Linked DNA regions of Alligator mississippiensis. The protein of the gene in region 1 purifies or fractionates together with the protein of each later gene. This does not show direct contact. Links are inferred from orthologs where the notes say so. Each region holds a gene or a part of one and is shown on either strand. Other genes may lie near its edges. The genes, in order: VAPB, PRKACA, PITPNM1 and VPS13C.

Region 1 (7,834 bases):
GATTTCCTATTGGAAATAGTTCTCATTGGTTTAGCTTCAGACATACTAACCTCCTCCACTTGCCAATACTGCTGTGTGCCAGTTGGGGAGCACCATAGCTACCTGCTGAGTCACCAGGCTGGGACTACCTTTTTGTAGAGGCCACGTTCTACAAAAAGCTGTTATCACACCTGAACTAGCCAATCCAGGCCATTTCACTGAAATAACACTTCCAATTCTACTCTTCGCCCTTCCCAGCATCCCTTAACCCACAAGGGAAGCAAAAACATTAAAACATATCTAAAACCAAAACTGGCTAACCCCCCAAACTGTTGCATACGAATCAAATTTTAACTGGGAGCATTAACAAGCCAATCATTTCTCTAATGCTGCTTTGCACAGGCAATCTAAACCCAGCAGAAATCCTAAGTCTGCCCTCTTGGGAGCTCATCCCATGTACTGCAGGGTGCTTTAAGAAACAGTATGAATATGAAATTAGAGACTGTCAAAATGCGTGCAACAAGGGACTGGAAAGACAGTACATCTATTATTTTCCCTACCTGCAAGCATCGAATTCTGATATCTAAGCTAAAAAGGCTCTTTTTAAACAAAGGAGTAGGGGGAAGTTTGGATGCAGTTTTTTTTTTTGGAGAAGGTAAAAAAGCATTTATGTGATGTATAATTGTGACCCCCTTTTCCATCACCTTCAGCACAAAGTTTCGTTATTGGACCTACAGGATTACACTGGCTGACACCAACGTAGGAGTAGGACTAGAACGCCTATCCCACAGGGGCCTCAGCTTGGCCACGTGCTGCTGGGGCTATGATCCATGTCAAGCATACAAGACTCTTTCCCCCCTTTCCTTCCCAGTAGCTGAATTCCCAGCACAACACGTACATCTGCTACTGATGCTACTTCGGTGACGATGGGAGCCCAGTTTTAGAATTTCTGCCAAAACAGATTAACGTGAACACTTTCTTTGTCAAAATGTTGATAAAAAAAAATTCCCCTCCAAACCTGACCAAAATGTTTTGGAATAAAAAAAAAAAAAAAAAGGTACAGTGCCCTGTATTATTTTAAAAGGTCTGTCGCAAACAAGAAGTCTTAGAATTTCTCAAAAAAAGATTCCCAAAACAAAGTGTTAAGGTGTTAAAGTTACCAAAAGTGGGAGCTGCTATGCACCCATTGCAGGCACACACACTAGGGGATATTTCCTCTCTCAACATTATATTTCAGCCCAGCATGCTGGAGCTTTTTTCAAGCAAAAGCTAACTTTCTGGTCCTCACACTTAAACAGAGTTGTATAAATTTGAGAGATACAGACTTCACAAACGTTTCGATCCAGAAGTGGAGGTATTTCAGTTATGGGATATTTACAGACTTTCATTTCCAATACAATATAATGAAATCAAGGCCCCAATCCTATGGAAACACTGAATCCTTTGTAAAGGAACCCTGTGGTCCCCATTCCTCAACTGTATCAAGTGTTTCTGAAAAGTGGTATTTAAAAAAGCAGATTCACAACTGCTTTATAAAACCATGGTCACATGAGACCTACCCAGAGCAGAATCAACTTTCTGAATATTACAAATGCACCTTTTCTGAATGAGTATATATTATTCTATTTAAACCAACTGGCTACAAGTAAGAGAGAGTTATTACTAATGAGTGACTATTTGCATACCAAACATCTCTTGTAGGTGTCCTTTGCCACAGACCATCCAAGCTCAGAAGCGACTTTGCCTTTTAAAAAGCACATCACTTCTGCAGCCATGACAGGAAGAGATCTAACAGCTAGTTGACTCAACTTCAGCTACTATGGACTGTTTACCCTTGACCCTCAAGGCCATTATTTTGTCAACCTCTGGTTAGCTTTCTTCACTCCAATAAAGACTAGACGCTGCTTGTTTGAAAACATCGAGTTTGTACATACGAGAGAAAACCAGACACCCCCCCCCCCCCAATTCAAAATTATAATAAATCTCATTCACAAGTCAATGCCAATTAAAGGTCAATTCTTTTGCCCAGCTCCCTACATTTTTATATACGTCTGTTGGAAAGGATTTTTGCTCGCTCAATAAAAAGCCAAAAGTTATTTTTAACATTACTACCATATAATGCAATAGTTGGCTTCGAAAATGTGTTTGACACTGTTACCGTGGCAACGTGCAAATACTTTGGCCTGCAGCAAAAAAAAAAAACCCAACCCCCCCCCCAAACCCAACACATTCATTCCAGGTAACGTTTTGAGCTATTAATTTTGTCCCTCTGCAAAAGAGCAGATTATCACGTTATTTCCAAGATGCTGGTCAACGACTAGGATAACACAGTCACAAACAAGGGTATTATTGAAGATTTCAGATCTTATTTCACCCTACCGATGTCCTCACAACCCACACCCCTGTATCATTGAAGCCACACACTGAAAACGGCAGCTCCCAGGAAAAATAAATGCGAGCAACGAGGGGGAGAGAGAGAGAGAGACACCATGACATGCCAAGGAGACGGAGGCTGGGAAGAAGGCGAGCGGGCCGCGCTCCCTTAACTTACAGGACTCCTGCTGCCCTCGCCTGAAGCAAAAAGGGCTGGGAGGCGGACTGTGTAAAAACCTCCGAACGGCGCGTCGCACCCACACCCGCTCCATCCATCCATCCATCCATCCATCTGTCCACCCCATCCATCCACCTACCCGTCCATCCGCCCATCACCTGCGTTTATAAACAACGAAGCCCTTCCTCCGCTTCGTTTGCAAGGCGCTCATCTTAAAAAGAGATGTAGATGTGTATATCGTTTTAAAATTAAATTAAAAAATTAAAAAAAAAAAAACGGGAGGAAGAGAAAAAGGAGGGTGGTGGGCGAGGAGGGGGGCAATGCTGCTCATTAAGACCAGGTTTTTTCCCCCCAGGGAAACCCACTGCACATGCTACCCCGCGTTTCAGCTCCTTCAGAGAAAACCCCCCCCCAGACCCCGGGGCAGCAGGGATTGAGGCTGTCGGAGCCGCCAGGCCCGGCGGCGAGACGTCCCCGAGGGGAGGGAGAGGGTCGGGCCCTCCCAGCTCCGGCCATTTGCACAGGCCGCGGCCCTGAAGGACGTGTCCGCGCGGGGCCCGGAAAATGGCGGCGGGCGGATGGGGGTCACCGCTTACCTTTGAAGCGGAGCTCGTGCTGCGGGTCGAGGCTCAGGACCTGCTCCGCTTTCGCCATGTTGCTGGTGGCGGCAGCGACGGCGGCGGGGCGGGGCGGGGCGGGGCCGGCGCTTTATCCCGCCGCGGTGCTCGGCCGGGGGGGCGGGGCGATGCAGCACGGGGCGGGGCCGGGGGCGGGGCGATGCAGCACGGCGGGGCGGGGCGGGGCGGCCGCTGACGTCTCCCCTGACGGGGGCGCCCCGGGCCGGGCCTGCTGCGGCACCCCGCCCGCGTGGCGTGCACAGGCGGGGCTGTACCCCTAAAAAAACCGGGGTGCCTCCTTCAGGTCCAAAGTGCACCCGTGCTATCTAGCATGGCTATATTTTTAGGGGTTTGAAGCCTGCAATCTCCTAGTTCTGCAAGCCGGGGGGGCTCGGCTCCTCCTCTAGACCCCAAGTGGACCCACGCTAGCTAGATGTTTGTATTTTTAGGGGTTTGAAGCCTGAAAATCACCTAGTTGTGCAAGCCTGCACGGCTCGGCTCCTCCGTGCCTCCTTCACGTCCAAAGTGGACCCGTGTTATCTAGCATGTTTGTATTTTCAGGGGTGTAGGTTGTAGCCGTGTTGGTCTACGGACACGGGCAGACAAGGCTCCTTGGGTGCGTCGGATATCTTTTATTCGACCAACTTAAACAGTTGGAAAAATAATTTTCTTAGCAAGCTTAAGGGTTGAAAAACTCTTGGTGGGGCTGAGGAAGGCGCTGCAGTTGGTGCGCGCTGCTCCTGAACGTTGGTGACGCGTAGGGGGTGCACGCGGGTGCATGTGCACCCCCCGAGTGTGGCAGTGCACCCCCTGCGAAAAGGCACCACTGACACTGCTGGCAGCGCCTGCAGACGGTCGCTGCGGACACTGCTGGTGGTGTCCGCAGCCAGTCCGCGATTGCCGCTGGCTGCGCCTGGAGGTGGTTGCCGACTGCCGGTCGGAGCTCACCACTCTCCCCCTGCCGACAGTGCTGCAGCCACCTGTGGGAGCTCCTTGCTTGCTGCCGCCACTGACAGTGCCACCGCGGCCTGCAGGAGCTCACCGTACCGCCCCAGCCTCCAGGGCACGCGTTCGTGGTAAAGAAGCCAGAGGCTGGGCTAGTCTGCATGCAAGACAGGCAGTCAGTAACCGTAAACTGAGGAGTCAGTGGGTGACAGACAGGCTGCAGGGGGGGAGAGAGGAGGATGAACGTAGCAGGCAAATAGTGGAGAGGTACCTGGGGAGTCAGATGTCTGGCAGGTTATAATGTGTCATAAATCCAATGTCTATATTGAGTCCATGATTTTTTGTATCCAAGAGGTTGATGAAGTGAAGTTCGTAGGCTTGTCTGTGAAAAGTGTTTTGTAAATTCCCTTGGAGGATTAGAACCTATATTTTTAGGTCACATTTAGAGACTCTTCTTTTATCTATAACTAAGCCTCCTGACTTTATACCTGGAGTAGTTAAAAAAAATTAAAAAAAAAAAAAAGGCGATTGCACCAGGGAGATGCTGTTGCCGCACCCTGGGCACACTCTGTCCCCACCCACCCACAGGTATCCCCTCTGACCTAAGTATCCCTAGGGGTATGTGTACCCCCAGTTGACAGCTCCTGTTTTAAAGGTAAATAAAAACGATTTTTATACACTGTATGTTCCTCTATTATTCATATTCAAGTCCCTCAGCCCATTTTTCCCATAAGCCTTTTGTCTTACCAAGCACAGATTTGCCAACCATGGGAACTTCCAGGAATCTAATCCCCGTGAGGAAAACCTGTATAATATATTCCCAGCTTTGTAATGGCCTGAGATGTCGTGGTGGCCAGAGGAAACGCTACAAGGACACATTGAAAGCATGGCTCTAGAAAACGGATGCCAACACAAAGAGCCGGCTGTCAATGTTAGCCCCCGGGATAACAGGAAATAATGGCCGCGAGTTGTTGGAGAGTAGGTTCAGACTAGACATCCGTAGGAACTACTTCACAGTCAGGGCGGCTAGGATCTGGAACCAACTTCCAAGGGAAGTGGTGCTGGCTCCTACCCTGGGGGTCTTTAAGAAGCGGCTTGATGCCTACTTGGCGGGGGTCACATGAACCCAGTTTCTCTCCTGCCCAGGCAGGGGGTCGGACTTGAAGATCTACAAGGTCCCTTCCCACCCTACTTCTATGATTCTACCAATGGACTCCAATGGTACCGCAACTGCAACCAAACAGCAGCCCATTTTGAGGTAAGGTATCTTGCCCTTGCAGGAAAGAAAAGAGCAGAGGAAAGAAAAGGAAAGAAAACCTAGCTTATGGTTTACTCTCCCCTCTGGAAAAACCTGCAACTTCTGTGGACAGGTCTGTGGTTTAAGTACTGGACCCTTCAATCACTTCAAGAACCATCAATGAGCTGTGGTAGAGATTATTTTTGAATCAAGGGATTGCAGCCACTACCGCGGATTTCTGTATACAGGTTTCCCTCACCATCGCGGGGTTAGGTTCCTGAAAGTTCCCGTGGTTGGCAAAACAAAAGGCTTATGGGAAAAATGACAGGTGGTGGGCTGATACGTGGCCACAGAAAACCGTGGTTACTCAAAACCATATACCGTGGTAGCTAAAATAGAATATTAAGTGTGGCTACTCAAAACGGTGGTTGGCAAGGGAAACCTGTATATCACTTAAAGAATTTCTGAGTTGTGGTATACATCAGTGTTTTCCAACTTTTCCAGCCCAAGGCACACTTACGTTAATACATTTTTTCCGTGGCACACCTGTTAAGGCATTCCCTGTCCTCATACCGTTTGTAGCTCATTGCCATGGCAAAATTCTGCAGCACACCCATTCATTTCTGACGGCACACTTTTGTGCCTTGGCATACTGGTTGGGAAATACTGGTATACATGTTTCTCAGTCAGGGATTTGCCAAGTTTGGGCTACATACTAAAGCTATACACAGCATAGTTGTCTTAAAAACCGGCATTTTTATACACGGGGGGAAAAAAAAAATCACACTGGTTTTAAGAGTGAATTTTACTTATCCTGGGCCTTGGGCATGGGAGAAGAAATTGCACATTTGCCAAGATGAAGAGAAAACACATGGTGGGTTGATTTAAAAAATAAATAGTGATGGCAACGACTGCTCAGGGATTTGTGTGTCAGAATAAGTCTGAACAAGGTAAACTAGTGAGCATAAGAGAGGTGACTAAGTGCACAAGAAACTATTTTTTTCAGACTGCTACACCGTTACTACATCAGTCCAAATTCCACATGTGATGTGCAAAATACAGATGCATATTATACAGGTAAAGAGATAGTGTATAACATGTCTTATTTTCATTCCTGTCTATAATCACAAGTGATTTATCCAGGACTCGGAAGATCTGGAGTTTGCAATGACAGGGTTGTTCTAGTTTTTGGCAGTAAAAGCAATGGCAAATGATTGATATGCATGTGAAAAATCAACACCGCTAAGTGGGAGGGTTATATTACCATGTTCAACACTGAGGAAGTCAGCACAAGTACATGTCTGCAGTATTTATACCACATCTCAACACTTCAGCTGCTCTTGTCTATATTCATCTCTGCTTTTCAGCTGCTGACTTGTTCTGCTTTCTTCAGATACTCAGAACCTGTCCATTCTTTTATTTTCATTTTTTTCTGGGACATCTTTGATCTTGAATATTTTTTGTAGTTTAGTATTTAGCTTTCAGTATTATATAGCATAAGTGACAAACTGACAATGGTTATGGGCACAGTTCTCTACTACTGAAGTCAGGGGAGTTCTACCAATGCCTTCATAACATACTGAGATAGCTTGGTGCTGCAGTCCCCCAAATTCCCTCTCCATCTGAATGAAAACATGGTCAAATATAGTCACGAAAGTACAATGTGGATTTTTTTTTTATTCCTGCTGTATTCCTCTATTAAGTTTATCTACCTTGGATCTGGGACATTTTGCCCCATTATGATTATTTGTGGTGTTCTCATTTACTGTATCACCCTAAAATAGAAATTAATGTACAACATTTAACCAGATTTGAAACCAGACGAAATTTCATTTATTGTTCTAGAAAGGGGGTAACTTATTTGAGGAATGTTCTTCCTACAATAATTTGTTGATGCTCTGAAGAGTTTGCTTTGTATTGTAGCCTCTGGGGGTTTATTTATTATTATTATTATGAACAGATTGTTCTTTTTTTAAGCCGGACATCCTATGTCCATGAGCACACCCATGGCCATCAGTCAAAAACTTGCAGGCACATACTGGCTTTCATCAGTTACTAAAAACCCAGGGCAGCCCAGAGTAAAACTTGCCGCTTCCAAATGACCTAAAATTATAGACAAAGTATAATATATATATATATATATATATATATATATATATATATATACACACACACACACACACACACACACACACACACACACACACACACACACCCACCCCTAAAAGTATACAAACCGAAATACCACAAGTAAGCCTTCAAGGTACTGTTTATACCTCTTGAAACATCCCCCTTCTGCCCGAACAACGTGCGTTTAAACAAACAAACAAAACCAAAACCTTCCTCCTCCACCATTTAGTGATCCACCTTTTAAAGGATGCTGGGGGTTTATTATTTTACAGAGTACATTGTAACTAGCATCTTCAAGCCACACAGATTTGAGGGCTCGCCCATGTTTGCCTCCAGATGCTTTATATACTTAAAAAAAAAAAAAATCAATGTTAC
Region 2 (7,399 bases), on another chromosome or scaffold:
TAACCCACCATCCTCCACTGCCCTCCTACTGCTGGGCGGAGAACCTAGGCCTCCTGGCTCCACCCCCACCCCAACTCCTGGTTCCCTCCAATCACAGCCAGGCAGCTGCATTTGTGGGGGGGGGAGTGAGCACAGGGAGGATCATGGGAAACAGGAAGTTGGATGCTTGGCTCCTTTGTGGTTTAACCCTTTCTTGGCTGCAAGGACTAGATCAAAGGGGGACATGGAGGCCCTGGAGCCATGGGTTGGGCAGTGGTCAGGCTTAGTAGCTGATGCCTGCCTTATTCTAGCCCTGCTGAATAGACACTGGTGAGACCTGCCAGACAGAAGTATGTTGGGACAGGAAGTGGGGCTGCCTGTGTCCCAGGCTCATCTTTGGCTGTGGCAGGCCCAGGAGATCATGGGAAAGCTGCAGCTTGTTTCCCCTTTAAACCCACCTTCAGTTCAGTATGAGGGGGAATAAAAAGCATGGATGCCAGATCTCACACTGTCTCTTTAAGGGGCCTGGGGGCAGCTGTTTATTACTGGATCCTATCCATAAAATGCACTGATTGGTCACTGCCCCCTGATGAGGGGGATGGGGGTGGGGGGGAGGCTTCAGATCACCTGGGTTCTGGGGTCTTGGCACTTGTCCCCTGCAGTCTGCCTCCCAATCTGGTCCCCCTCAGTGCAGGCCCGGGGAGTGCTGCCCCAACCTCCCTGGTTCCTTCTTGCCCCTGTGGGTATCAGAGCCCAGTACCACCTGTCCTTCCACCCCCCACTCGGCACCTCTATCTGCTGGAGGGCTGTGCCTGGCTCGGCTGACCCCTCTGAGGTTTTGTACAGAGGCGCAGGGGGAGAACTGTGACTTGGGAATAACCCCTCTAGAGATCCATAGTTTGGCCCTCAGACGGGGATCACACCACCACCGTGCCTCCTGCTTGGCCTGTCTACATCTTTCCAGAGGGGTCAAATCAGGAGCTTCCCTCCCTACCTGTCGGCCAAAATCCAGATCCCTGGAGGGGTTGTGCCTGGGAGCTCCCATCCCTGCCTGCAGGCTGATCTATGGCATCTCGGAGGTGTCAGGCAGGATGGGTTCCTATTCCCACCTGCTGGCTAACCTATGGCTCCCCAGAAGGGGCAAACCAGGAGCTTCTATTCATAGCTGTTGGCCAAGCTACAGCTCCCTGGAGGGGTCATATCCAGGGGTTTCCATCACTGGCCAGTCTACGGCTCCCCAGAAGGCTCATGCTTAGGGGTTCCTGCTACCCACTGGCCAATCTGTGGTGCCCCGGAGGGGACAAATTGGGTTTCCATTCCTAGCTGTTGGCCGTGCTACAGCATCCAGGAGGGGTCGCACCCAGAGGCTCGCTTGGCACATCTACAGCTCCCCAGAGGGGTCAGATCAGGGGCTTCTCTCCCTGCCTATTGACCAAACTCAGGCTCCCCAGAGGAGCATTCCCAGGAGGCCTCTGTCCCTCCAACCCCTGTACGGCACCCTGGAGGGCTCAACCCAGCCCAGCCCTCCAGCAGCAGTAGGCTTTTGGGCCCAAATAGATTGACCCCACCAGGGCACCGTAGGCCGAGCCCCAGGGCAGCAGAAAGTGGCAAGATGGAGGCAGGCGGTGAGTGGGGGCGGAAGGGATGGGGGTCCTCCAGGGGACTCCTGGGTCCCAGAGGCCCCACCCCAGCCCCAAACAGGTTTAATTTACCGACCTCCCCCAGCAGTGGTCGTCATGGGAATGTGTGGGTGGGAGGAGCCTCCTGAAGGGGGTTGGGCTGGATACATTGTTGAGGTGATGTGGTTAATGATGGAGGTCTTGGTGTCGCTGTGTGGGGTGGGAGGCAGGGACCTCATCTGCTAGTGAGAAACTAAGGCAGGTGTGGGTGTAATGAGGCAGTTTAGCGTGGAGCAGTGATAGGCTGTTACCCTCCCTTCCAGGTGCGGGGGTCATGATGGACCTGGCATTAAGCCTGTGGGCTGGGCCCCCCAAGGGGGCTGGAAACCCCTGATTGACTCCCATCTGGCCTTGGAGGCTGAGAAGAGGCCTGGGCAGCTAGGTGTGATCGGAGACCCACAGTCAGGGTCTGTTTTGTTTTTTTACCAGGCTTCTAGGCTCTTCTGGCAGCCATGTGGGGCCAGGAAGGAATTCTTCCCCACCCCTGCTGCTTATAGGGGTTTAGGTGTTTCTCTCTTCCTTCAACAGTGTCAAGTGCTGTCTGTAGCCCAGGATGGGGGTGAACTCAGACCCAGAGGGCCTTGGTTACATCTTGTTGCAGCTCAGGCTCAGCCTGTCACTACATTGGGGTCAGGAAGGAATATTCCCCCCTGCTCAAACAGGCATGGACTGGGGGGTTCCCCTTCTGCTGCAGTCCCGCCCTCTGCTTGGGGTTTCTGGAGTGCATTGAACCCCTCTGACAGCCTCCAGACTCTTGCCAGCCCTTGGCTCCATGAGGTTGGCCAGGCTAGGGGTGCCCATCTACCCTGGACCTCTGGATTCCCTCCTGGGCCCTGGGAGCCGCTGGGGGTCTGGTGGTGCTTGGGGAGGGTGAAGGTTCTGATAGGGGAGGGGCAGTGTGGTGGGTGGGTCCATCAGGACTCCTGGGTTCCTTCCCTCTCTCCCTTTGAGACTTGCAGACTTCTGCCTGGCTTTGCCCTTCCCCACCACTGGAGCTGGGGGCACTGGTAGGGTAGAGGAGGGGGTCATTCTAGCTTGTGCCAGCTCCCAAAAGGTTAACACCTCAGCAGGCGCTGATGCCTTTAAGGGCACCTGGCGCTGTGCCTGCCCTCCTCCCCAGGCTGGTCCCTGGGGTCCCTCCCTGCAACAATACCCAGCGGTTGGCACCGCCCCAGCCTGCTTGGCCACAGGATCTGCTGCCAGGGGAGGGGTCTGGCAACAGGGGAGGGTGCTGTGATCTGTGCTGGGGGGTGGTGGAGCTGAGCCTTGGAGTGGGGGGGCACCATGGAGGCAGCCCCTGGCAAGGTCTCGCAGGCAGGCACCAGTACCGACAGTGACTTCCAGTTCTGGCTGCAGGTCGTTCTGTGGCTGCACTTGCTGGGGCGGCTGCTAGGCCACATCCTCCATGGCTCCTGCAGGGGACAGAAGCGCTAACAGCCCCTACCCGCACCCACCACCCCCCAGCTTGTGCAGGGGGACCCTGATTGCAGCCACTGGGGCCTCGAGGCTCCCCCACTGCTGCCTCCTGGCACGGAAAGGCCTCTGCTCCCGCCTGCCCTGGCTTCCACTCTCCAAGGTCAAGGAGCCTCCATGCTTCCCCCACCATGCCCCACCCCAGAGCTGGGTGCAGCCTGAGTGTGGGCAGCTCTTCACGGACCTGCTGCCCCTTTCTCTGCTGCTGGTGATTGGATTGAGCTGATCAGGAACCCCCCTACTTCTTCCCCTTGGCTTGCAACCCTAGTAGCTGCCTCCAGAGGGCACTGGGCCTGCAGGTGGGAGGGGTCTCACTGTGGGGGCTGTCCCCTCCCTGCCCCCCCTCCCCCACCCAGGGCTCCCCTGCCCCCTCCAGCTGGAGCGACTATTTGATGCCTGTGACTATTTCATGCCTGTGACGTGTCTGCTCCATGGAAGTCAAAGGAGGAGCCTCTAGCCCTGAACCTGACAGGACCCTCAAACAGCAGCTGATCCTGGACCTGGGGGGACCCCTGGAGTGGGGAGCAGCCGTGAACCCCAGCCCTCAACCTGACTGTGATCCTGACTGGAGGCCAGCAGCCCTTGATCAGCAGAAATTGATCGACTCCCAGGAAACTGACCAGACCCCAGTCCAAGGCAACCTAACTGACCTGAAACTGACCAGCCCCAGGGGGGGCAGCTGGGAGACTGACTGGACTCCAGCCCTGGACCCAGGGGACACCCCCCCCCCCCCCCAGGCTGGAAAGGAGCCAGCAGCATGAAACTGACCGAACCCTCAAGCAGCAGCTGATCCTGAAACTGACCAGACTCCAGCGGCTGTGAAACTGACTGGACTCCCCCAAGCAGATCGTGAACCTGACCAGACCCCAGCCAAGGGCAGCTGTTGAATTTGACCCCAAAACTGCCCAAATCCTGATCAAGGCAGCTCTGAGGCTGACCAGACCAGAGACCCCAGCAGTGAAACTCGCCAGCCATCCTGTGACTGACATCTTGGTGCCAAGATCTCTGCACCCAGAAGCCAGGCTTAAGGGCCCTGTGCCAGGCCAGGCCCCCAACTCCAGTGAAGCCAGGCCGGATGGACCCTGGTGTAGCTGCCAGCTGAGCCCCCAATCCTTTGTGTCAAGGTGTGTGGGGGGGGAGGGGGCAGTCCAGGAATGGCTGCGGCTACCAACATTTCAGTGGCCATTGATCCAGCATGAGCCACGGGCCAGAGGTAGCTGGCCCCAGCCCCACCCCCAGCAAGGCCAAGGGGGGCAAGATGTCGGCACTGCAGAGGCTGGAGAGCCTGGCCGGGCGCATCTTCTCCTGGGGTCCACGGGGGGACCCTGGGGATCCTGAAAGCACAGGGAGGGTTCCTGAGACAGAGCATGCAGCCGCCTGGAACCAGCAGAGTGAGTGGGGCTTGTGGATGGGGCAGATGGGGGGACAGTGGGGGGTAAATCAGAATGATGGAGGAGGGGTCAGGGGGATGACCCTCTCCTGCCATGTTGTTGCCCCATCAGCTTGGACCCATCAAGAGCATCATCACCAGTGCCCCCCCACTTGCTGCACATAGTGGGAAACTGAGGCAGGCTGCTGGCAAACGGGCCCAGAGTGGGGTTGGGGAACACAGGAGTCCTGGCTGTCAGCTGGGCTGGCTGGGCTGATGTGTTAGAGGTAAAGATGGGACCTGGGAGCCAGGATACCTGGGTTTTCTCCCTGGCAGTTAAAGGGACTGGGGGGTTAGTGGTTAGAGCAAGAGAGGGGGCTGGGAGGCCAGACACCTGGGCTTTCTCCCAGTTGCCGGGAGATCAATGAGATCTAGTTTAGGGCAATCGGGATGGAAGCCCCGACACCTGAGTTCTCTTCCAGCTCTGGGGGAGGGGAGGTGGGAAGGGGAGTGCAGGGGCACTGGATACTCAAGGCTGTGACAGTGGCCCCTGACATGGGCACCCAGGCAAAAATAGCAGTGCCAGGCACCTGCCAGTGTTGTGCAGGCCCTTTTAAACCCCCTGCCTGCCCTTCCCTCCCACCCCCCCAAGCCATAGGGGGCTTTGGGTGGGAAGGAGAGTTTTGGTGGCTTTGGAACCCATCCAGGCTGGGAGCTGGGATGCCTGGCTTCTCTTCCCAGCTGGTGAAGTGAGTGGGGTTGGGATAGTGGATAGAGCAGGGGGAGGTTGGGAGCCCAGACCCCTGGGTTCTCTTGGCTGTGGGAGGGTTGTCTGGGTACTTTGGAATGGGGGTGGCTCCCGCCTCATCGCCCATTGAACAGGTCCCTCTGGCTGTGGCTTATCGATTGGGGGAGAGGGGGGCTGCTTCTTTCCAGGCCCAAGGCCATGGTGTCTGTCCTTCACTGTCCATGGCTGGGGCTGGCATAGGGAATGGAAACTCGGGGATGGGGGGGAGGTGGATCCTGCCAGGCTAAGGCCTGGGACTGGGCAGATCCGGATCTGCTTCTCCCCCAGCACCAGCTGCATTTGGTGCTAGTCCAGCATCTGTTACTGTTGGCTAGTTCTCCCTTGCCCTGCTGCCCCCAGAATCAGTCTCTCTTCAGTCCCCAGTGAGCCATAGCTTCTCCAGGGTTTGTTGCTATCAGCCATTCAGCACTGCCCTTCACCCCACAGCCAGCTTCATGTGGCAGTGAGCAAGCACCAGGTCCCTAAGCCACGTTGCTGGTGGCTGTTCCTCCTGCCCTGCTCCCCCCCAGAACCAGCTTCATCTCAGCCCTGAGTGAGTGATTGGTTCTCTGGGCACTAGTACTGTTTACCCTTCACCCCCTCCCTTGTTTCCTTCCAAAACCAGCTGCATTTTGGCTGTGAGCAAGGATGGGTCTTCAGGTTGCCAGACTCTTGCTGCTTCTTCCCCAGAGCCAGCTGCATTTCAGCCCCAAGCAAGCTATGGCTTGTCCAAGGCATGTTGTTGGCCAGTCACCTCCTTCCCCTGTTTCCACCTCAGAACCAGCTTCATTTGGCTGTGAACAGGTGGCTATCTCTCTGGGTCGTGTTGCTATTAGCCATTTACCTCCTTCCCCAGAACCAGCTGCATTTTGGTGCTAGCTGAGTGGTTGTGTCTGTGGGTCCCCTTGCTGCTGGATGGTTCCCCCCTGCCCTGTATCGTCTCAGAACCAGCTGCATTTCAGCTCCCGGCAGGTCGCAGGTCGTGTTGCTCTTGGCCTTTCATCCTATGATGCTGCTCCATCTTGGAACTAGCTGCATCTTAATGCTATTCTGCTCCAGTGCTGGTTCTCCAGGTCATGTTGCTGTTGGCAGTTCATCCTCTGCCCTGTTTCCCCCCAGCACCAGCTGTATTTTTGTGCCATTGGAGCAGTCTTTCACTGGGTGAACTGGTTGCTTGCTCTTTGTTGCTGCCCTGTTCCTCCTCGCCCCCCCCCCCCCCCCCCAGCACCAGCTGCATTTTGGTGCCATTCCAGTGATGGTTCACCAGGTCATGTTGCTGTTGGCTGATGCCCCCCTTCTCCCAATACCCACCCCCCAGAAGGAGCTGTGTTTTGGCACCAAGCAAATGGCTGGCTTTCTCTATGGCTTGCATTGCTATTGGCCCCATTTGCCCCCCAAACCAGCTGCATCTGGGGGTGTGGTGTGGTGGGGGCAGTAACCTGACTGCTATCCCAGGGGTGGCTGCACTGATCCCTATGTTGGGGGGGACAGGTGTGGTCTTCAGAAGGCTTGGGTGAGGGGGTGGTTTTGGCGCTGCCTGGCTCTCTTGGAGCTGATTGTGGGGAACCACCACTGAGTCTAGCTGGTGTGGGGTGGGAGGGGGAATAGCATGGGGCCATTGGGGGTGATAATAGGTACTTCAAGCTGGTCCCTCTTGGAGGGTGGGGGGGCAGGCTGTCTGATTGCCTTGAACCTAGCCCCTATCACACACCAACCCTCCCAGAGGTGGGAACCTGAACTCCTGGGCTCATTCTTTGGTTTGTTGTCCTGATCGATTGGGCAGGTGGCAGGCCTGGAGACCTGGGTTCTGTCCCTAGCACTGGGAGGGGCCCTACTGGGTAATGATTGAAGCAGGGTAGGGCTGGGAACCTGGACACCTGGGTTTCCTGCCCATCTCTGGGAGCAGGCCCTGAGGTCGAGAGGGGAGGCGGTTGAGGTAGGAACCCAGGTATCTGGGCTCCCACCTCTGGGAGGGATGGCATAGAGAAGGGAGGGGTTTTGGAGCCCGGACACCTGGATTCTCTCCCCTTCTCAGGTAAAGCAGGCAGGTCCACTACCAGCAATACCCAGGAGTATAGGGGGGCGGGGATCCCCAGGGGACAATTGGCAGCT
Region 3 (8,109 bases), on another chromosome or scaffold:
GACTTCTTTATCCATGAGTGTCTTTCAGCATTTACTGATAATATGCCTCCAAATTTTGGGGAATGGATGTCAGTGAGGACTTGCCTGTTCATTCTGGGCATCAGGATGCCAGATTACAGGCTTGGATGTGTGTAAGTAGGCCATGGGCCATATATTTCCCAAAGAGGCATCTACTGGGTGTGAAAGCAACAACTCTCCTGGTTATTAGTCCTTTTACCACATCAGGGAGGACAGTCAGTAGGGATCCTATTCTTCCCGTCAGCCCTGGTTAGTTTTTTGGGACAGGTGTTTTCCTGCAGGGATGGGCAGTGCTTTTTAACAGTCTTTAAGCCCAAGGTCTCTACTCTTTGAAACCACACAAAGACCAAGCCAGGTGTTACTAGATAGGGTGACCCTACATCTGGGTTTGGTTGGGACAGTCTTGGATTTTGTAGGCTGTCTCAGCGCCCCAGCCAGCTGGTGAAAATTTAAACAAAAGTATTGAATTGGCACTGTTCTGCCTGCATGTGCCCGACCTGGCTCCTCCTGAACATAGGCTGCTCACGTTGGTGTGGGGGAGGGGCACCTCCCTGACCATGGCACCCTGGGTGGTCACCCAAGTTGCCTACCCCTAAGGCTGGCTCTGACCTGACTGTACAAATCTACAGCCCAGTGGAGTTGGGATGAGGGACCAGCTTTTGTTCAGAGTCCGGGAGAGTTCAAGCCTTCCTCAGGAGGAGGGGAAGTGGTGGAACAGGATGGGGCAGCTCTCCCTGCCCTGAGGGAAGGGGGGGGGGGCAGGGATGTCCCGCCCTGCTCTTCCTTCTCAGCCACCCAGCTGCTGGGGATGCATTTTTGGGTTGCACCGTTCCAGGCTCTGCCTTGGTACTGCAGCACCATGTGCTTCTTCCTGCAGCAGTGCTTCTGACTTGAGGGGGACACACACACACACACACACACACACACACACACACACACACACACACACACACACACACACACACACACACACACACACACACACTGTCCCAGATTTCCCAGTGTCCCATATGGTCACCCTATTCCTAGACCACATTTAAGGGTATGCTGGGTATAGGGTTACAGATCCTAATGGACACTACCACCATAATGTTTTATATAAAAGAACAAGATGTATGACCTCTCCAAACTGGTGTGCATGCCATCAGATACCCTTCTGGATAATGCATTTCCCTGCTTTAGGGATATGACAGCAGATGGCCTTAGCAGGCACACCCCTGCACAGTAAGCAGGAAATCAAAGATTTCAGGTTGTCTTTGCAGATGAGTGGATAAACAGATCGATCTCTGGGTGTTCCAGGCACCAAAAGACAGTGCTGTTTCTCTCATCCCATCTACAGGAAAAGTCTTGCATGCCTCCTCACCCATACCTTATTTTTTGAGTTCTGTACAAGGCAAGGCAGGACTCTGTGGGCTCCATTCTGGCTGAGGAAGTTAATGTGGGCCCCATTCTGGCTGAGGAAGTTAATCTGAAGCTCCCTTCTTCAGATGTTGGTGAAGTGCCCCTAAATGCTCTCACTGGTCTCAGCCCTGCTGGTCCAAAAACAAGATGCACATTCTGGATCTCTGCTCCCCATAACTCACCATGCAAATGTTGTGACACTGCAGTGCAGCTTGTCCTGTTCCCTATCACCATTCTCTTGCATAGCATGAAAGGCTTGACTTGATGAATTTACCTAGCTAAGGAGACAAGGACTGGCATTGTGCAAAAGCTTACTTGTCTTATGACATGGGTTTTCAACCTTTTTTAATCAGTGTACCCCTGGTGGCCGGACATGGGGAGGGTGTGTGGGGGGGAGGGGTGTGGTGGTGGTGGCCACGTGCAGAGCAGCAACAGCACAGGGTGGTGGGTGGTAGTGTCTGTCATTGTGTGCAAACTTCCCTCCCCTCCCTTCCCCTCCAGTGTCCAGTCAGCCAGGTGGCACCTGCACGGCCTGCAGAGGGGCACCCTGGTCCTCTCCCCCCGCCCCCGGCTCTGCTTCTGGGAGGTGGCGCTCCATCCCTGCCCACCCATGTGTACCCCCTAGGGCCTTCCCAAGTACCCCCAGTTGACAACCCCTGCCTTAAGAGATTTCTATGCCAGCCACATTAGACTATCTGCTACAGGTGATGTTTGGCTGCTGACAACTTCAGCTTAGTTGGGGTATGCCTGACATCCTGTTAGCTTCAGGAGTTCAGTCAGCTTTCTCCCACCTATGAGACATGAAGTTCTCTGTGGTCTAGCCAAGGTGTAACTGGGAATTGGCTCTGGTCCCTGTTCTGGCCAATGAACACTGGCAGGGCAGGGATGGGGAACAAGCTTACCTTGAAGAAGCTGATGGGGATGAGTGGCTGGAGGAGTGGACTGCATGCAGTCTGGGGTGAAAGAGCAGGATCCCGGTTGCACGTGGCTGCACGTGCAGGGGGAGGGAGCCCTCATTGGTCGGTGGGAGTTCTGGTGGACTAGAAGGAAGGAGCCTGCACATACAGTTAGCCCTGGAGAGGGGCATGCATGGCAGGCTGGGAGTGCTGTGCATACCGTGTAGAGATGCAGAACCAGGACTCCCAACCAAAATGCAAGAGTCCGGTGAGCTTGTCTGGGAAGACGGGGAAAGCTCGGTGCCAGACCACTGAGTGAGACGAGGCGAGTGAAAGGAAACTTGACGAGTGGAAAGGAAAGTGCTGCTCCCAGGGAGGCAGCGAATTTAGAGTGAGTGTTGTCAGACTTGGTAAACTGATGGAAGGATCCAAATACATTGATGAGAGAGAGAATGGGACCTTTAATGTAATTAATATGAAGGATAAAGATTGATAAATTCAGGGATAATTAATTGATCTTTGGTGAATCAAGGGAGGCTGATGAATTCATTGATGATTAAAATTGTTCAGCCCTGGGTCAGCTGGGACTGTGGAATTCATTGAGACTTAATTGAGGAATTAATTGATAATTAATTGATCTTTTGTGAATCAAAGGGAGGCTGGTAATTTCACTAATAATAAATCTGGGCAACTAGTGAAGGGGGGGGTGGATTTGGGGATAATCAGTTGATCTTCTGTTGTGTGAAAAAGGGGCTGTTGAATTCATTGGTAAGTAATTGGTAATGTGTGAGCCATGGGAGACAGGGAACTTTATTAATATTTGATTGCACTTCCATGGCATCAGGGAATAAAGTAGCTGGCGATCAGCCTTCTCAACTAGATTGAGAATTGATTGAGGTACCCTAAGAAAGGCTTGGGGGTGCAGACCGAGTAGCCATTGCTGATGGTGGGGTTCAAAACCCCCAAGGTAAGGCTACAAATCTGGACACCAGGCCAGGAGTTGTAAGGAGCAGGGTGTAGGGTTGGGAGGAGACCCATGAAGAGGATGACCTGCAGTCAGGTGGATCTCTCTTCTTCTCTAGACAAGTAATGTTCCTTTAATGTTCTTAACAACAAGGCATAGCAGGCAAGAAGGAAAGGAAATGGAGGTGGAGACCAGGTAGACTGGGACAAGAGGCCTTTCAGTTGGTGAGAGATCCTGTTCTCTCGGGGGGCCTGAACTTAGTTCAGCATATGGTAGCCTGCTTGCTGCCCCACCTGTCCATGGAGATACTTTCACTTCTTGCCACCAAGAAAGCTGAGATTCAAGCACTGAGGGTAGGCCCCTTGTTAATTTTTTTCATTATCCAGATATGGTCTTGAGGATTTGCCCCAGTGCTGATTGACCTGCTGGCATTTCCCCAAAGCTTTGAAGCTGTGTAGTGATGCACATGGTCAGAAAGCCACATCCTTCCACTTGCAAAGGCTTGAGCCTTTAGGAAATCTTGGTTGCTTGTTTCCCTGGCCAAAAGAATGATAAGCCTGGTGATTTTAGACTGTAGACTATACTTTTGGAGACTGGTCTACATATTATATTAAAGTGTGCTATGAGGTTGTTGCACAAGAGATACCAGGTGATTTTGATGGTTTCCCTGAGAAATCTTTATGTAAATAACATCCAACAGACAGCTACTTGGAGTGTTATATATCCCCAAGCACTGTGCCTTTGTTGAAGCAGTTCCCCAGTTTTTCAACAAGTTTTAGATTTCATAGATTTCATAGACATTAGGGGCTGGAAGGGACCTCCTGAGATCAGTGTCCAGCCCCCCTGCCATAGGCTGGAAGTCAGCTGGGATCAAGTGACCCTAGCAAGAATACAACCACATGTTTTTTGAAAAAGTCCAGAGTAGGTGCTTGCACCCCCTCTGGGGGGCATCTGTTCCAGACCCTGGACACTCGCACTGTAAAGAACTTTCTTCTTACGTCTAGTCTAAATCGGCCTTCCTGGAGTTTATGGCTGTTAGACCTTGTTATCCCTTGGTAAGCTGTGGTGAACAGCTATTCTCTTAGGTCCTGATGCCCCCCTCATATAATTGTAGGCTGCCACCAAGTACTCTCTGAGCCTTCTCTTTTCCAGACTGAAGAGTCCCAAATCCCTCAGCCTCTCCTTGTATGGCCTGCCCTCCAGGCCTTGGATCATACAAGTGTCTCTCCTCTGGACTCAAGCTTTTCCACATCCCTCCTGAAGTGGGGGCCCCCAAAAGTATAGGACTCCAAAGCCCATTTCCAGGTGAACTCTAGAAATCACCCATGCTGCAGTGTGGGACAAGCACTCAAAGGGAAAATTGAATTTAACAGCAGGGTTTTTTTGAGCTGTTGATATGCATGTTCTGTATCTTGCTCTCCATCTCTTGCTCAGTGGCTGGGAGGAAGTGGGAAGTAAGAGGCAAATGGGTGGTCTGTCACAAACACTACCTGGTTACCACCTCTTCCCCCTTGCCTGGGGCTCCCTCCAGGGACCCATGGCCCCACGTCCAACCTAGATGCTGACCAATCCCTACGTCCAGCGACCAGTAGCATTGCTGTGGGGCAGACTGGATCCCTCCTGGCGGCACTGCCCATTCATCTCCTCCCAGTCGCACAATGCTGGGGGGAAGAAGGCAAGCAGGGCTCTGGGGGTATCCTGGACGGTCACGCGTGCAGGGGGAAAGGCTGCCAGTTTGCGTCCCGACCTCTCCACCTCTGCCTGTTCATGCCCTTTCTTGGTTTGATGTCACCGGCCTCTTATGTCACAGTCGTCTCCACGGTAACCGAACGTGATGTCACAGGCAGAGGGGGGGACGACGGCGGGCTCTTAAAGGCGAACAGGTGCGGTTTGGCGGGGCGGGGAGGGGAGGCTGGGCGCCGGGTCCCGATCCTGCCCTGCCCCCCCCGAGCGGCAGCTGCACGGGCAGGGCGGGCTGAGCCGCGCGCGGGGGCGGGGCCCAGCCCGGGGGCTGCGGGAAGCGAGACCAGCTAAAAATAGGTCCCTCCCTTCCCCCGCCCCAGCCAACTCGGCCACGCCGCGCTCCTCCTCGGGATCCGGCCGGCGGGGGGAGCGGAGCAGCCGGGCCGCAGCCCCCCGAGCGATGCCAGGCGAGGCCGCGCAGCGGGGGCGGGAGCGGGCGTGCAAGGCCGGCTGGCAGCTGCCGGGGCCCAGCGCCAAGTGCTGAGCGCGCCCCGCCCCGCCCCGCCCCGCCCCGCCCCTGCAGCGCCCGGAGCATCCCCGCCGCGGCCGAGCCGGACAGGTGCGGGGGGCACGGGGCTGGAGGGGCAGCGCCCCCTCGCGGGGGCCTGCTGCCTGGGCGCTCCCACGCGGGAGGGCTTCCCGCCCTCGGGCTTGGCTGCAGGGGGCCTGTTGGCGGGGTTGGCATGGGGCAAGAGGTGCCTCCTCGGGTCCAAGGGCGCTACCCTGCTGTCCTTTGCTGGCTAGGTTCCCCTTGGGTCGCCATGCTGATCAAGGAGTACCACATCCTCCTGCCCATGAGTCTGGACGAGTACCAGGTGGCCCAGCTCTACATGATCCAGGTGAGGGGATGGTGTTTTGCGGGACGGGCAACGCATGACTTGAAGCGCTCCTTTTGGGGCCCGGGCTGGGCTCCACAGAAGGTGGGGGCGCTGTGCATGGGGTGCGGGAGGGTTGGTCCATGGGGTGGATTGGGACACGCCTGTGGGATGGGGAGGTGGGGCCGCTCTGCAGGGTTGGTCCGTGGGGCAGACTAGGATATGCCTGTGGGATGGGAGGCGGGGACGCTCTGCATGGGGTGCGGGAGGGTTGGTCCGTGGGGCGAACTGGGATATGCCTGCGGGATGGGAGGTGGGGATGCTCTGCATGGGGTGCAGGAGGGTTGGTCTGAGGCGGACTGGGATACGCCTGTGGGATGGGGAATTTGGGTCTGTGCACAGAGCACAGACTACGGGTGTCGGCAGTGGTGGCCGGTGAGCTGGGCTCGAGTGGGAGGGCAGCTCAGGACTGACACAGTGGTTTTCCCTCTGCAGAAGAAGAGCCGGGAGGAGTCGAGTGGGGAGGGCAGTGGGGTGGAGATCCTGGCCAACAGGCCCTACAGTGATGGCCCAGGGGGCAGCGGTCAGTACACCCACAAAATCTACCATGTGGGCTCTCACATTCCCAGCTGGTTTCGAGCCCTGCTGCCCAAGGCGGCACTGCAGGTGGAGGAGGAGTCCTGGAATGCCTACCCCTATACACGCACCAGGTGGGCCACGTGGGTTGCGCGTGGGCCAGGGAGAGGGTGCAAAAGAGGTGCATGTGGTGGTGGTGGAGGCAGGGGCGCCTTGGGAGTGGGGGTGCATGACTGGCGGGGGTGCGTGGGCTCTTGGATTCTGGAGGGAAGGAGTTGGTGGTGGGAAGCTACTGTCCACTGGGGCAGACTTGTTGGGTCTCCTCTTCTTCCCACTGTGTGATTGTGGGCATTCAGTCCTGGAGTCACCTCAGAGGCCTTGGCAACACTGGAGGGGGCAGGGGAGTCTAGTACAGGGCAGAGGTAGCTGAGGTCACTACTGGGGAGAGTTGGCTATCCCTGCATCACACGGCACTGCCTCCTCTCTGAGGTCCTTCCTCTCAAGCTGGCTCCCACCTTTCAGATACACCTGTCCCTTTGTGGAAAAGTTTTCCATTGAGATTGAGACTTACTACCGGCCCGATGCTGGCCAACAGACAAACATCTTCAACCTCGGTGCTGCAGAGAAGAGGCAGAGGATTCTGGGTGAGCAGTGCTGCCAGGCTTGGGGCTGTTCCTGCTGGTACCTGACCTTGTGGGCTGAGCTGCCGGTGGGCTGTCCGGTAGTGCTGGATAGAGTTCTGTGTTGAAGAATGGCTTCTCTGGTATGTCACCTCCTGGTGGGGAGGAGGGAGGGGATGCAGGACAGTGTGGATGTGGACATATGGCATGATGTGGCTTGGGGGCTACACTGCTTTTGCAGCTGAACTAATGCAAGTTCTCAGTGGAGTTCTTGCAGAACTGTGGCACCCAATTTCAGACTTGTCTCAGGAAAAAATGATATCAGGGCAGGTGTAATGTGGATATGCTCAGCACTGCAAAGAACTACAATCCCCAGAGCTTATAGCCCCTGGCTATAAAACAGTCTTGACTCATTTCCAGGTTATGTGGAATCTTTTTCAGCAGAAAAACTCTCCCCGAGTGTGGAGAGTTGTTAACTTCCTCCCTCTGAGAACCAGAATGCCTCTGCAAGTCAGGCAGTAAACATTTAGGGTATGTGTCCCTCATTCCCCACCCTCCTCAACACAATTTTGACTCTTTCCCCCACCCCTTCCTTCCCCACAAGAACATCTGTCCCCTGCCTTTGGAGTGCAAATCTGGGACTTGTGGAGACAGGGTAGATGTCCTTCCCCAGTTTGAGCTCCTCAAATCTAATTGGCAGCATTGCTGCCCACCAGGGCTAGGGAAGTGCGCTGAATGGAGTGGGGCTAATGGGAACCATTTAGTGGAGTGTGAGTAGGAGCTGAGGAGTGGGTACTCTGACCTGGAGAGATCAAGTTTGCCCCATAGTGGTGCTTAAGCTCTGTATATTCTGTGCCCAGTGTTCTGTAGTGCTGGGGAAGGGACTCTGTGGCTCCCCTTCTCCCAACCCCCTCCTCCCCCTTGGCTCTTCTACTGCAGGAAGGATCCTGGAATGCTAGTTTGTGAATTTGGGGTTCTGAGGCACTTCTGCATGAGGGCAGAGAGCAGGTCTGTCTGCAGGCTTGATGTGCACCTTCTAGTTGTGTGTTTTTTTTTTTTTTTTGTTTTTTTTTTTT
Region 4 (7,662 bases), on another chromosome or scaffold:
CCATTTTTAAACATACCCCAAAATCCATGTTTTTCCACAATTAAAACAAAAGATCACTCTATACACACACACACACCTCGAAAGAGAGTCAGTGATCAGTTGGGCAATGCTTTATTGGTATATTTACCGTGTTAAAGTAGTGTGGAAGCCTACTAGTGTCTCTATCATCATGATAAAATAAATTCTAAATACCCATGTGTTGATGTGTGCTTTTGGTTTTCTTTGCACATGATGGGTGTATGATGGGGCGATGTGGTGTTTGCAGGAAGGGGATGGGATGTGGGTTGATGTGTGGGTAGGTGTGAGGCAATTGCTGGGGGGACCTTATGGGGGGGCTGCTCAGGACGGGTGGGTCCCCTGGCCCCCACAGAGTGCAGCCCCCTACACAGCACATGGAATACCCCCCACACAGGGCCCAAGCTCCCCCCAGGAGGGCCCCAGCCCCCCTGCCCAGGGTCCCAGCTCCTTCCTGGAGGGCCACAGCCCCTCCCCCCCACACAGTGTCCCAGCTTCCCGATGGAGGGTCATAGCCCTCCCCTGCCCAGGGTCCCAGGCACCAAGAGGGCCCCAGCCCCCCCATCCAGGAGTGGGGCGCTCTGAGCCATGGCGGCAGGACCTGGAATAGCATGCAGCAACTGCATGCCAGGCCCAGCTGGGCCTTGCTGGCCCTAGGGCCTCTCTGCTGCCCGGCCAGGCCATGGTGGCAGGACCCGGTGCAGCACGCAGGGACCACATGTCAGGCCCAGCCAAGTTCCACTGGGGACTGTCTGCTACCCGGCTGGGCTGGTCACTTGGCAGCAGGACTTGCAGTGTGGGGAACATTTTTTCATTCCTGCACATGCCTCTTGCCCCACCTCAAAGGGGTTTGAGATGGGGCAAGAGGCACGTGTGTGCTCGTCTGGATGCATGCCATGAGTTTTCAATGCTCTGCTGCTAACTGTACTTGGCATTAGGTAGCTGCCTCTACTTGTGAAGACAAGTAAAAAAAATTAATACTTCAGCCTTCTCTGCATCATCCATAACTAAATTGCTTTCTGCATTCCATAAGGGACCTATGGTTTCTTAGATCTTCCTCTTACTTTTGACATACTTGTAGAATCCCTTTTTAGTGCCAATGTATAGCCCTTGCCAGTTACATGTCAAACCATGTCTTTACCTTCCTAATTTTCTTCCTGCATGCCTGTGTGATATTCTTATGCTCTTCCCTAGTATTATGAACAAATTTCCACTTTCTACTTTGTAACTGATGAACATCATAAATAGGGATGTACTCTATATGCAATTTTGCGTTCTTCACAGAAACTGTGAAAAAAAGTGTTTTACACGAACCCTGCAAAAATGGAGACTTTTGTGTGGAATCAACAGGAAAAAACTTACTAAAAATAAGATGTTGGCTTTCCAGGGGGAGCCAGCAGTCCTCAAGGCCACTGCAGCCTGGCCGGTGTTGGGGGAGCAAGAGCCACCGGCATTAAGGATACCAGCAAAGATGGTGGCTGCTCCCTTCTCCCCCAATCAGCAGTGAGGGGCACGGCTGCACGATGGGAGACCACTTTGAAAAGACCGCAAAAAATGGCACTGCGCACCATGAGCGGCTTGTGATTTTTCCCTCACCTCAGCAGGAATTAAGTAGATCCCTAATCATAAGCATCTCAGTACCTGTGTGTGGGATAGGAAAAGAAGCTTAATGTGCCCTTCCAGCAGTTAATTTTCTGTCTGACTAATTTTTTGCAAACAAACATGTATAAGACAGGATCAAACAAATAAGAACAGCACCACCAAAAGTAGCAACAAACAAAACCAGTCAACCAAAACCTCAGAATTTTACACTTTAAATAATTGCTAGCGTTTGCCTTCTAGGTTTTTAGTTGACAATTTGGAAGGCTGGGACAAATTACTTGGGGCAAATTACTTTACACAGGAAAGCTCCTGAAGTATGCAAGATCTTGTTTATGCTCTTGCTTTATCTCAGAATATTTGTTAGTACTTCTGTGATTTATTTCCTAAAAGGTTCTGCGAGTGCTAATTTGTATTGTTCACAGATGGCTTTCTGATTCAATGGTATTCAAGTTTTGCAATGATATTATAGGTAATGAGCAATTTTATGCATGTTTACTATGATTACATTGTACTCAAAGTTAGAATCTATTTTTAAATTTCTGGCAGGTTGATATTTGAACTACATATTATGGAATCTGGCATTATAAACTGAATAAGGGATAAAACCAAGAACTCATTCTGTGCCATTGCTGCTATGGTATGTGGTTCTGGATCTCACTGCAAATGTATTTTGATTTGTTTATTGCAAATACCTACACACTTTTATTTTCTATATGCATGACAATGCAGCCCTGTGTGGTATAGTTGCAAACAGCGCCCATAACAGCAGTTTTTGAGAACCAATCTGATCTTTGCAACGGATTTACCTTATATTTTGCTGTGTTTGCAATGTACTTAGATATTTTAGCTTTTCACTGGCTAGTAATATTTCCAGTTAGGAAATTATACTAACTACACTTGCAAATGCTTAGTGAATAGTAAAAATGAAACCCATCTCTTTAAAAGTGTATTTGTCTGAGGCTAACAGAATAACCAGCTACCAAATTTTTGATGGAATTGGTATCTCTTCATGTGGCTTAGGTTTGTCTTGGAGATCTATAACATACTGCTAATTCTCATGACTCTTCTAAGAGCTGGCTTTTAAAGAGAATGTGCTGTTCTATGTTTGTAAGGGCTGTTCTTTTGTGGATCATGGACCCCTTAACATTTTCAAATGACTTTGTGGAGCTTCTTTTAGTCTCCTTGAGATTTACAGTGCTCTCTACTGTGAACATAAATACTTGCTGACCTGTCATAGAAGCAATACTTCACTTTTTACTTCCTCTGCAGTGCTACTCACTCCTGGAAGAATGTTAAAGGGGTATCATTACTTCTTAATGATCTCTAATGGGTTCCTTTCCTCTGTGAGTTACTCAGATACCTTAAAGTGCTATATTTTCTACAACAATGTGATAAAAGGTCTCCTGCAGAAGAAGCTGTATAGAAAAAAAACGACTGGCTTGACTCCTGTTACATGGCAAGGCAGTGACTGCTTAACCTAGTGGTTGTTAGTACAGAAATAAATAGCTCAAGTGAAAGATGATTGTCATCTTCTTAAATTGGAAATTAACTGGTAAAAATAAAATGGACAGCTGCTGACTCATTCTTACAAAACAAGGCGGGAGAGAGAGGAAGGATAAACAAGACAATCACTCCTTTCCCTATACCAGGGGGAGCTCCATTGCTGGAGTGGTGGGCCAAAACTACTCAGCTCAGTTGGAGACAGGCTGGCCTTCTGATCTGGCTGTTGCCACCACTTCTGTCTTCTGCCCCATGTACTAAAACTGCAAAATCTTGCTCTTCTCTGGTCAGATAGAATAGCTCTGCAGGCTGGTTTTGGCCTGTAGGTTGCCAGCCCCCGCCCTATATCATAAATTACATGAAGCAATTAGTCCTGGTGTTTGTTTCCTAAACCAGCACTATGGAAGCACCTGGGAGTCACAGCCTCCAGCTGTAGCTGCTGTCACAGAAGCAGTGCATTTGAACAGAACCATGCCCTTGCCTCATCTCCTGTTCCAGAGGTAAAATGTGTGTAGCAACTTGCAGTGAAATGGGAAACAGGGGCTTTGGCACATCCCTGTTTGCACAGCAGGATAGATTTGATGATATTTTTGGTTGGGCCCACTCTACAGGGCAGTGGTGCTCAACCTATTTGCCACAGTGGGCCACACTTGCGGTCTTACCCTGTCAGGTGGGCTGCACCCACACAACTCGCTCCCAATGTATCCCTTTCAAAACCGTTTTGGCAAGCTGTCACCTGGGCAGAAGCAGTGTGCCCAGCAGCTGCACGTGGCCTTTCAGGCATGCTGCTGTCTGTCCTGCCTGTTTCCCAAAAGCAGGCACAAGGCACAACAACCCCTGCCCCCTCCTGCTGCTTCTCATCCGGCTGCGGGCCGGGGTCCCAGCCTGGCAGGCCCTGCCTCTCGGGCGGCGGGCGGGTAGGGCGCCATCATAACGGACAGTCCCGCTTTTTGCTACTCTGTCCTCTACTGAAACACAACCCAGCGCCTTCACAGCCTCCTGTTTTTCCAACAGAGAACATAAAGGCGTCGGCTTTTGTATCAGCAGAAGAAACCCGAATGTCCTGCGCGGGCCCCCCTCAGGAGCACGAGGCCGGAGCCGGCTCGCTCTCTTCGCACCGCCCCAGCTCCCGCTTGCTTGGTGCCCGCCGAGGGCGGAGCCGCGCGCGCGGAAGTGGCCCCGGCGGGTTTGGCCCCAGGCCGCGCTTGGAGGAGGGACGCGCGCAGCCCCACCCCGCGGCGCCCAGGAGCAGACAGACGCAGGGGGAAGCCCGGGAAAGCGCGGGCGCGCGGGCACGAGGCAGGCGGGGCTGTCACGCGCCCCCCGCGGTCACGTGAGGGGGCGGGGCGCGGCGGGCCGGGGCGGGGGGCGCTGCGCGTGCATTTCTGTGCGCTCCGCGCGCGCCTCGGGAGCGGGGTTTGGAGTCGCTGCCGCCATCATGGTGCTGGAGTCGGTGGTGGCGGAGCTGCTCAACCGCTTCCTGGGTGCCTACGTCGAAAATCTCAACAAGTCCCAGCTCAAGCTCGGCATCTGGGGCGGTAGGAGCTGCTCCTTCTCCCCTCCCCTTCTCTCCCCCCGCCGCGCACCTGTCGGGAGTCTTGGGAGGGGCTGCCCCCCCCTCACGGATCGGGGAGGGAGCTTCGTGGGGCTCGCCCACGCCCCCCCCCTCCCGCCCCGCACTGCGGGCGCAGAGCCCTGCCCACCGCCGGGGGGAGAAGGAGCTGCTGGAGGGTTGGCTCTGGAGCCCATGTGGTGCCCACAGCCGGAGACACGCGTGGATGGACCCTACCCCCAGGCACGTGCTGGTGCTAGCTGCCTGATTATAGTCCCTGATCCGCCTTGCACCCCCAGCATGCCTGGCTGCAGCAGTTTCGTGTCCCGTGGGCTTGCAGCTGGCCTGACCGCGCCTTCCTTGTGTCTTGCAGGCAATGTGGCGCTGGATAACCTGCAGATAAAGGAGAACGCCCTTGTAAGTGTTCCCACAGCACTGGGACTCTTAACCTTTCTAAGGGCTCCCCTTGCACCCCTGCCGCTGGGCCACGGGGCCTCCTGCTCCTCACTTGGTCACTGAGGGCTTGCTTTTAACTGCCAGTGATTGTTTCTTAAAACCTAGGGCACTGTTTGTCCTCAGGCTTGAACAGGTACAACTGCATGATGAAATGAGTCTTCCTCAGTGGGTCTAACCTCAGCCCCTCTCTCCACCCCATAGGTCAGAAACTGGAGATGGGAAGACAGTTTAACTGTGTTGCCCGTGTCCTTTCTATGTTCTTCTCCAGCTTGGCAAGAATATAAGAGCTCTTGTTGACCAGGTTGGGCTGCAGCTCCATCTTGTCCGGTCTGCTGGGCTGCTTTCCTTTCCCATGTGAGGTCCATCACTGGGCAGCGTACACTGGCTCCTTGGACTCCTATGAGGGGCGCTGGGCGCTGTCCAGGTGCTCTGCTCGGTGTCCCCCCTTTGGCATACTGTTTTTAAACCTCTGACCTCACTGCTGTCGCTGTTATGTCTAGTTGTCTCAAGCATTCAGTTGTTGCCTATCTAGTGACCTCCCTTTCTAAGGGAGGCCTATAGCATTTTCTTGTGGGCATTAGCCCAGGGTCTCCAGGCACTGGGCTTGTCACGGAGGCAGAGAATGGATACTGAAATGGAGAGTGACCTGGATATGATTAGGATCCAACCCCCCCCCCCCCCCCCCCCCCCTTCCTCTCCCACTTGTAGCCTTTAGGATTTAAGGTCTAAGAAGTTCCAGTTCAGAGTCTGTATCCCTAACTTATGTGCTCAGGAGCTACTGATGCCCCTTTCCTCCAAGAATTTGTCCAATCCCTTTTTCAATCTGGCTGAACTGTTAGCATCCACAGCCTGTGGTGGCAAAGAATTCCACATTTCAAGTAGAGGCTGTGTGAAAGCTTCCTCTGGTTTATTTTAAATTTACTACCTTTTACTTTTATTTGATGACCCCATCAAGAAGTCCATAATATTATGGATGCTCAACTCCAATCTTAGACTTGCTCTGTTTGCATATCTGATGGGTCCTTGTGTCTGTGTGGAGCCTCCTTGGCTCTAATCACAGTGGTAAGTTGTAGGCCGAGAGGTTCTCCTTTTGAGGCTGGCCTGTGCAGTAGGTGCCGGGACTGAGTGCTGCAGCTGTCACACTGTCACTGGTAGTAGTACTGGTAGGTTGGGGAAATAACAGGGAATATATTTTCTTCTTCACAACTATATAGAAAATATTTTGACCACATTTTCATTCTTTACAGTCCTTCGTTTACTTGAATAATATTGAAAGAGTTTTACTGGAATATTAGAGCTTAAATGAAGAACTCATTCTGTGCCACTGCTGCTATACTGTGTGGCAATAGATACAGTTCTGGGTCTCACTGGAAATTGATTTTGATTTGTTTATTACAAATACCTACATACTTTTACTTTCTATATATGCATGACAATGCAGCCCTGTTTGATGTAGTTGCAAACCAATCTGATCTTTACAATTGATCTACCTTTATATTTTGCCTATATTTGTAATGTATTTAGATATTTTAGCTTTTCACTGATTTACTAATATTTCCAGTTAGGAAACAACACTAACTACTAGGGCAGTGCAAAATTTTGCTGGCTGTTTGTTTCGAGACTGTTTCGACTCATTTCAAGCTTGAAACAGTGAAATCAAAATGAAACAAAGGGTTTTGAAAGAGCCTCGAAACAAAACAAGGACAATCATTTCAAGTTCTGAAGCTGGGCTTGCCTGCAGGGAAACGAAAGGTAAGGAGAGGGAGAGGGAAGAGGAGGCAAAGGACGCAGTGAGGGCATGCTTTAGCACACGCTGGAGAAGAAACACCTGCAGGAGAGGAAAGAAGAGCTCTGTCACAGTTTGGCTGCCTGAGATGCTGCTGATGCTACTGCGCTGCTGCTCACTAAGTTATTTTACCTCTTGTTATTTAAAGTGGTGGACTGAGATGAGGCTGTAGGGGAGGAGGAGACCTCATTGGGGCGCACAACTGTGTCACGTAGAGGCCCCAGCACCAGTGCGGGTGCGCACAGACACGCATCAGGAGTTTTGCTTGTCAGCACCTTGAGGTGCAGTTTCCCAGAAACCCCTGCACCTATGTCCTTGAAAGCCGGCAAGCTTTATGCCCTCAGAAGGGACTACCGTCCCTGCTGTTTTCATCCAAATCTGCTCCAAAATGACAGTTATAGGCAGTTTTGTGCTTCCCCATTATAGCCTATGGGCGAAACATTGAAACAGCTTCAAAACAGCAAACCTGTTTCGACTAAATGAAACGGAACAGTGCTTTCGAAACGAAATGAAACTTGAAACGAAGCACTGTCCTGTTGAAATGGAAGTGGAAAGGAAATGGTGCTGTTTCGCACAGTCCTACTAACTACACTTGCAAAGGTTAGTGTATAGTAAAAATCAAACCCATCTCTTAATTTGTATTTGTCTGAGGCTAATGGAATAACCAGCTACCAAATTTTTGATAGAATTGGTATCTCTTCATTTGGCTTAGGTTTGTCTTGGAGATCTATAACATACTGCTAATTCTCGC

What was found.
Region 2: the proteins of VAPB (region 1) and PRKACA purify together in Homo sapiens (affinity purification with mass spectrometry; 4 studies listed by BioGRID and IntAct, with this or other methods). This does not show direct contact. The link is inferred for Alligator mississippiensis from reciprocal best matches to the Homo sapiens genes VAPB and PRKACA.
Region 3: the proteins of VAPB (region 1) and PITPNM1 purify together in Homo sapiens (affinity purification with mass spectrometry; 5 studies listed by BioGRID and IntAct, counting the BioPlex papers as one, with this or other methods). This does not show direct contact. The link is inferred for Alligator mississippiensis from reciprocal best matches to the Homo sapiens genes VAPB and PITPNM1.
Region 4: the proteins of VAPB (region 1) and VPS13C purify together in Homo sapiens (co-immunoprecipitation; 3 studies listed by BioGRID and IntAct, counting the BioPlex papers as one, with this or other methods). This does not show direct contact. The link is inferred for Alligator mississippiensis from reciprocal best matches to the Homo sapiens genes VAPB and VPS13C.

The regions. Positions count from the first base shown.
Region 1 is NC_081832.1:8,560,684-8,568,517, forward strand, and holds the start of VAPB (vesicle-associated membrane protein-associated protein B/C), read right to left. Parts: upstream 3,238-7,834; 5' UTR 3,185-3,237; coding exon 3,127-3,184; intron 2,701-3,126; exon of another isoform or gene 2,686-2,700; coding exon of another isoform or gene 2,670-2,685; intron 1-2,669. UniProt on the Homo sapiens protein: Endoplasmic reticulum (ER)-anchored protein that mediates the formation of contact sites between the ER and endosomes via interaction with FFAT motif-containing proteins such as STARD3 or WDR44.
Region 2 is NC_081831.1:24,686,179-24,693,577, forward strand, and holds the start of PRKACA (cAMP-dependent protein kinase catalytic subunit alpha), read left to right. Parts: upstream 1-4,328; 5' UTR 4,329-4,389; coding exon 4,390-4,522; intron 4,523-7,399.
Region 3 is NC_081825.1:170,460,996-170,469,104, reverse strand, and holds the start of PITPNM1 (membrane-associated phosphatidylinositol transfer protein 1), read left to right. Parts: upstream 1-5,162; intron 5,163-5,276; exon of another isoform or gene 5,277-5,581; intron 5,582-5,766; coding exon of another isoform or gene 5,767-5,783; coding exon 5,784-5,861; intron 5,862-6,332; coding exon 6,333-6,547; intron 6,548-6,935; coding exon 6,936-7,057; intron 7,058-8,109. UniProt on the Homo sapiens protein: Catalyzes the transfer of phosphatidylinositol (PI) between membranes. Binds PI, phosphatidylcholine (PC) and phosphatidic acid (PA) with the binding affinity order of PI > PA > PC. Regulates RHOA activity, and plays a role in cytoskeleton remodeling.
Region 4 is NC_081834.1:32,718,445-32,726,106, forward strand, and holds the start of VPS13C (intermembrane lipid transfer protein VPS13C), read left to right. Parts: upstream 1-4,510; 5' UTR 4,511-4,555; coding exon 4,556-4,655; intron 4,656-5,042; coding exon 5,043-5,086; intron 5,087-7,662. UniProt on the Homo sapiens protein: Mediates the transfer of lipids between membranes at organelle contact sites. Necessary for proper mitochondrial function and maintenance of mitochondrial transmembrane potential.